Xenopus tropicalis: one gene and its partner. The protein of the gene in region 1 purifies or fractionates together with the protein of each later gene. This does not show direct contact. Links are inferred from orthologs where the notes say so. Each region holds a gene or a part of one and is shown in the gene's direction. Other genes may lie near its edges.

The links.
Region 2: the proteins of sdhaf1 (region 1) and sdhb purify together in Homo sapiens (co-immunoprecipitation; 3 studies listed by BioGRID and IntAct, with this or other methods). This does not show direct contact. The link is inferred for Xenopus tropicalis from reciprocal best matches to the Homo sapiens genes SDHAF1 and SDHB.

Annotation. Positions count from the first base shown.
Region 1 is NC_030684.2:131,183,456-131,185,934, forward strand, and holds sdhaf1 (succinate dehydrogenase assembly factor 1, mitochondrial), read left to right. Parts: upstream 1-1,515; 5' UTR 1,516-1,603; coding exon 1,604-1,858; 3' UTR 1,859-1,955; downstream 1,956-2,479.
Region 2 is NC_030683.2:131,925,541-131,930,046, reverse strand, and holds the start of sdhb (succinate dehydrogenase [ubiquinone] iron-sulfur subunit, mitochondrial precursor), read left to right. Parts: upstream 1-1,500; 5' UTR 1,501-1,580; exon of another isoform or gene 1,581-1,581; coding exon 1,582-1,647; intron 1,648-4,506. UniProt on the Homo sapiens protein: Iron-sulfur protein (IP) subunit of the succinate dehydrogenase complex (mitochondrial respiratory chain complex II), responsible for transferring electrons from succinate to ubiquinone (coenzyme Q).

The DNA of each region.
Region 1 (2,479 bases):
GTAACAGTACAATCACATACCCTATAGAGCAGGGAGCAGGGGGTAGAACTGCCCCACATCCCAGTAGAAAGTAACAGTACAATCACATACCCTATAGAGCAGGGTGTAGAACTGCCCCCACATCCCAGTAGAAAGTAACAGTACAATCACATACCCTATAGAGCTGGGGGTAGAACTGCCCCACATCCCAGTAGAAAGTAACAGTACAATCACATACCCTATAGAGCAGGGAGCAGGGGGTAGAACTGCCCCACATCCCAGTAGAAAGTAACAGTACAATCACATACCCTATAGAGCAGGGAGCAGGGGGTAGAACTGCCCCAAATCCCAGTAGAAAGTAACAGTACAATCACATACCCTATAGAGCAGGAAGCAGGGGGTAGAACTGCCCCACATCCCAGTAGAAAGTAACAGTACAATCACATACCCTATAGAGCAGGGGGTAGAACTGCCCCACATCCCAGTAGAAAGTAACAGTACAATCACATACCCTATAGAGCAGGGAGCAGGGGGTAGAACTGCCCCACATCCCAGTAGAAAGTAACAGTACAATCACATACCCTATAGAGCAGGGAGCAGGGGGTAAAACTGCCCCACATCCCAGTAGAAAGTAACAGTACAATCACATACCCTATAGAGCAGGGGGTAGAACTGCCCCACATCCCAGTAGAAAGTAACAGTACAATCACATACCCTATAGAGCAGGGAGCAGGGGGTAGAACTGCCCCACATCCCAGTAGAAAGTAACGGTAACAACCACATACCCTAAAGATCAGGGTGTAGAACATACAGGTTGAGCCTGAAAGAGCACAAAGGAATACAAAACGGAGCCTCTGTCTATACTGTCCAATTGCATTCTGGGTATTGTAGATATATATTAATCCTAGCTGTAGGCTAATTGTTAGATACAAACTACATTACCCGGCATGCAGTGGAACAAGCATACTAGGGGAAAAAACTTTGGCTAGTTTCCAAAGTACAAATGTGCCAAGGCTCCAAAACTGTACCTTGGTGGGGTTGTACCAGGGCTTTAAATTAGTAGCCTAATTTGGTGGAAAAACTGCCAACCTGGCAACCCTGGTTAGGGATGCAATGGCCAGGGCAGAAGGTTGTCTCTATATAGGATGATCTTTTTCCCAATATGCCCACATATCATATTTGCCGCTATGCAGGCAATTGGATTATGGACCACATCAGTGCACTGTGTACCTGTCAATACCTTGATCCAAACGGAAAATCAGACCTGGCCAATCCTCATCCAGCCAATGTGTGGCTGGATGACACAGTGGGTAGGAGGCTGTAGTTGCAAGAGTTATACTAATTAACCCTTTGCACAGATAACGTGGAGAGGTTTATTGGCCTTTATAATGTGTCCTGTACTTACTCATTGCTGTGGTATATAAATCATGAATTCCATCTTGTTTTGTAGAGGTTCCCTGGACCAAGATGCCTGAAGAAGGAAACAAATCATCTGCTCAAGGCAACACAGCGCTTCCCTCATATATGAATCAGTCGCTTGCAAGGGAAATATTTTTACAGTAGAAAATTATACTAATGTCTTTAAACTTGAACTTTTAAGCTAACATAGATGTGAGGAGGCACAATGGTTAGACACAGCAAACTACAAAAGCAGATTCTGAGTCTTTACAGACAGTTTTTACAAGCCGGCAAAGAGAAACCTGGGTTTGTACCCAGAATCAGAGATGAATTCAGAAGAAATGCAAAAATTCCAAAGACTGATGTTATGCACATAGAGTACCTTCTGCGGCGGGGGCAACGGCAACTGCAGCAACTACAGGATGCAAATACAAAGCAACTGGGAGCCTTCATCAGATCCCCAACCAATCAGAACAATTAATATGTTTTCTTATAAAAAAGATTTGATATTGGTACAAATGTAACTACTCTTTGTATATAAATTATTTATACTATTTATAACAAGTTGTTTGCTCTTACTTGGCCTCTGTATTCCTTTGGTAGGATGTTTGCAAATGTACCAACCTCATAGTGCTTTATAAACATGACCGCCTCCATAAACTGCATATTAGTGATGGCTTTTCATGTGTATTGTAGAGGAATAGTTAAGGCTAGCAAAGCTGGGCATGTCAGAATAGAGCTGATAATGAGCAATTAAATACACTACTGCCACCTTTCTCAAAGTAAAAGGCTGGAGCACTAAGATCTGAACCTTGTGGCAACTTAGCAGTAAATTGGAGTAAAGAGACATGGGGGGAATTCACAAAAGTGGAGAGAGACCTTTTTTGTAGTAAAAGTGGTGAAAAAACTGGTGGAAAACACTTTTTTTTCAGATTCACAAACAGAAATCCGCATAAATTCCGACTCAACCGCCACTTTTCCGTTTTTGGTGAAAGAAAGACAGTTTACAGACACTTTTGTGAATTTGTCGTTTAAACAACATTTTTTCCCAACATTTTCAAAATGGAGTAAAGCTCAGTGTAAAGGTGGCCACACACGTGGT
Region 2 (4,506 bases), on another chromosome or scaffold:
TCCCATGGTCAGGCAGGTACCTCCCCCTGGGTAAGTGAATCCAATCTCCCCCCAGTACTTACCCAGGTACAGAGCTCTGATTCTCTGTACTTCCTGCTCCTGGGCTGCTCTCTTTCCCATGGTCAGGCAGGAACCCCCCCTGGGTAAGTGAATCCAATCTCCCCCCAGTACTTACCCAGGTACAGAGCTCTGATTCTCTGTACTTCCTGCTCCTGGGCTGCTCTCTTTCCCATGGTCAGGCAGGAACCTCCCCCTGGGTAAGTGAATCCAATCTCCCCCCAGTACTTACCCAGGTACAGAGCTCTGATTCTCTGTACTTCCTGCTCCTGGGCTGCTCTCTTTCCCATGGTCAGGCAGGAACCTCCCCCTGGGTAAGTGAATCCAATCTCCCCCCAGTACTTACCCAGGTACAGAGCTCTGATTCTCTGTACTTCCTGCTCCTGGGCTGCTCTCTTTCCCATGGTCAGGCAGGAACCTCCCCCCTGGGTAAGTGAATCCAATCTCCCCCCAGTACTTACCCAGGTACAGAGCTCTGATTCTCTGTACTTCCTGCTCCTGGGCTGCTCTCTTTCCCATGGTCAGGCAGGAACCATGACAGTTACACATAACTATAAACCCAGTGAGAATGAGGGATGAATGGGTATTGGGGAGTTGTATCAGGAGTCAGAACCAGCAGTGCAGGGAAGGGAAAGGGACAGACACAGTGACAGTTACACATAACTATAAACCCAGTGAGAATGAGGAATGAATGGGTATTGGGGAGTTGTATCAGGAGTCAGAACCAGCAGTGCAGGGAAGGGAAAGGGACAGACACAGAGAATGAGGGATGAATGGATATTGGGGAGTTGCTCAGATTTATACTTTCATTAGGTTTTATATCTCCTTTAATTTCCTTACACTTTGCTGCCATCTGCTGGACATGGGCAGAGTTGCCCCTCACGCTGCGGCAGAGACAGGAGTCGGAGACTCAGAGGGGCAATAACCTTTAACCATTTCCTGACTGAGGCGCTGCCCTTATCCAATAGATGCCCCTGTCTGTCCTTCCCCCAATAATAGCTAATAACAGGGGGCGACCTTTTATATCTGCAGCTCAGCCAGTGAATTTGGGGGGCAGGGCCACTCTATGCATGCTGTTAGTGCCCCGCCCACAGGGACAGTTTGGCTCCTCCCACTTGTCCTTTATTGCTTTTGCTGAGGCTTTACTTACCCTTTAAAAGGTCTCTTCCCCTCACCCACCATGGCCTTATTGGTACAACAATTACCCCAGGGGCATTTATAGTAATATTGCGCACTAAATCGATGAGACGTTGCTATAGCGACTAGCGAGAGGGAATTACACAACCAGTTACTCAACATCACATGACCATGAAACACCGCCCACTTTTATTTGTGAGTAAACCATAGAGATCGCGGATCCGGGCTAGAGCGCCCCATCCCCCCATAGAGCTGAGAGAAAAGGAAAACGGACGCTCTAGCCCCGAGCTCCCTCTCTCTGAGCGGGAAAGTAACGCCTCTCTATGGTTATAGCCCCGCCGCGCTGCATTGTGGGAGGCTGGCGGAGTTACTGGTGTCAGAGGAAATATGGCGGCGGTCGTGTTCTCCTTGAGACGTAGCGGGCCGGTGTTCCGGTTACCGGGAGTCCTGCAGGTCAGAGCCGGGTCGGGAGTGGGAGCAGTGACCGTGGGGCTGTCTGTCCCGGTGTCATGTCTGTCCATTCAACTGCAGCTTATGCCTCTGCCCAGTATTGGCCCCTAGGGGCCCCAGTTCCCTCTCATGTTGCTGTCAGTGCATAGGGCCCCCCCCAGGTTCTGTGTAGCCTCTGTCAGTGCCCAGTATTGGCCCCTAGGGGCCCCAGTTCCCTCTCATGTTGCTGTCAGTGCATAGGGCCCCCCCCCCAGGTTCTGTGTAGCCTCTGTCAGTGCCCAGTATTGGCCCCCAGGGGCCCCAGTTCCCTCTCATGTTGCTGTCAGTGCATAGGGCCCCCCCCCCAGGTTCTGTGTAGCCTCTGTCAGTGCCCAGTATTGGCCCCTAGGGGCCCCAGTTCCCTCTCATGTTGCTGTCAGTGCATAGGGCCCCCCCAGGTTCTGTGTAGCCTCTGTCAGTGCCCAGTATTGGCCCCTAGGGGCCCCAGTTCCCTCTCATGTTGCTGTCAGTGCATAGGGCCCCCCCCCCAGGTTCTGTGTAGCCTCTGTCAGTGCCCAGTATTGGCCCCCAGGGGCCCCAGTTCCCTCTCATGTTGCTGTCAGTGCATAGGGCCCCCCCCAGGTTCTGTGTAGCCTCTGTCAGTGCCCAGTATTGGCCCCTAGGGGCCCCAGTTCCCTCTCATGTTGCTGTCAGTGCATAGGGCCCCCCCCCCAGGTTCTGTGTAGCCTCTGTCAGTGCCCAGTATTGGCCCCCAGGGGCCCCAGTTCCCTCTCATGTTGCTGTCAGTGCATAGGGCCCCCCCAGGTTCTGTGTAGCCTCTGTCAGTGCCCAGTATTGGCCCCTAGGGGCCCCAGTTCCCTCTCATGTTGCTGTCAGTGCATAGGGCCCCCCCCCCAGGTTCTGTGTAGCCTCTGTCAGTGCCCAGTATTGGCCCCCAGGGGCCCCAGTTCCCTCTCATGTTGCTGTCAGTGCATAGGGCCCCCCCCAGGTTCTGTGTAGCCTCTGTCAGTGCCCAGTATTGGCCCCTAGGGGCCCCAGTTCCCTCTCATGTTGCTGTCAGTGCATAGGGCCCCCCCCAGGTTCTGTGTAGCCTCTGTCAGTGCCCAGTATTGGCCCCCAGGGGCCCCAGTTCCATCTCATGTTGCTGTCAGTGCATAGGGCCCCCCCCCCAGGTTCTGTGTAGCCTCTGTCAGTGCCCAGTATTGGCCCCAGGGGCCCCAGTTCCATCTCATGTTGCTGTCAGTGCATAGGGCCCCCCCCCAGGTTCTGTGTAGCCTCTGTCAGTGCCCAGTATTGGCCCCCAGGGGCCCCAGTTCCCTCTCATGTTGCTGTCAGTGCATAGGGCCCCCCCCAGGTTCTGTGTAGCCTCTGTCAGTGCCCAGTATTGGCCCCTAGGGGCCCCAGTTCCCTCTCATGTTGCTGTCAGTGCATAGGGCCCCCCCCCCAGGTTCTGTGTGGCCTCTGTCAGTGCCCAGTATTGGCCCCTAGGGGCCCCAGTTCCCTCTCATGTTGCTGTCAGTGCATAGGGCCCCCCCCCCAGGTTCTGTGTAGCCTCTGTCAGTGCCCAGTATTGGCCCCTAGGGGCCCCAGTTCCCTCTCATGTTGCTGTCAGTGCATAGGGCCCCCCCCCCAGGTTCTGTGTAGCCTCTGTCAGTGCCCAGTATTGGCCCCCAGGGGCCCCAGTTCCCTCTCATGTTGCTGTCAGTGCATAGGGCCCCCCCCAGGTTCTGTGTAGCCTCTGTCAGTGCCCAGTATTGGCCCCTAGGGGCCCCAGTTCCCTCTCATGTTGCTGTCAGTGCATAGGGCCCCCCCCAGGTTCTGTGTAGCCTCTGTCAGTGCCCAGTATTGGCCCCTAGGGGCCCCAGTTCCATCTCATGTTGCTGTCCCATTGCCCCAGCCCCCAGTCCCTATGTACTCTGATCCTGGGGAAGGGGGTAAAACTGAATGAAACCATGGTAACCAGGGGCAGAAGGGGCTATTGGGGGGGCCCCATGTGGGAAGGTTCGTCTCTTAGAGCTCAATGGGCCAGAAAGGAAGTTCTCCCTGATACTGTAAGTAGCCGCTGGGCCCGGTATGTAACCCAGAGTACCTGTGCTGCTATTGGCTCCTTCAGTAATTAGGCACAGGGTCACATGGTCTCCGGCAGCAAAGGGAGGAGCTCAGTGACCTTGACTGTGGCCCCATCATAGGAGGCCCCCTTCCAATACCAAAAGGTGCCATGTTATTTCTGGGGCCCCCCAGAGCCAGAGCGAGTCCTCAGCCAATCAGTTCTTCTGGCCTGACAGCCCCTAACGGGATGGGGCAAAGGGTGAGTCTTTCAACCCTCCCCCCACCCTGGGGCCCACAGTGCTATTTGGTCACTTTTAGTCCCTCCGGCCAATACCTGTAGTTCAGTGAGTAAGTGCCACTGGGTATTTAGGGCGGGTAATTACCCACAGGAATAAACCATTGCGCTCAGGGGACTTTGCCCTTCCTGGGTGTTATTTTCCTTTACTCCTCGGTGCATTTACTTTCCCACTGACCTTTATTATCAGAGAAATCCCATCATGCACCATTCCCTATTAATATCACTCATTGATAATAATAATCAGTACAATAAAACATGTACTTTCCACCAATAGGAGGCAGGTGCTGCTATAAATCCCCCCGGCCTATAGAGCGCAGCATTTAGCAGACACGGCCCAGACCCAATACTGTTAGTACATCCCGGTGATCCCTAACGAGATCTAAATGACAGAATGGGATCAGAACCAAAATGCAGCCGCCGCCGTGCTGGGAACTGCTCTCTAGTGTGGTTGGTGCTCAGGGGAGGTGTGTAGGCAGCCGTGAGCCAATCAGAGCTCAGCTTTTTGCCCTGCCTGC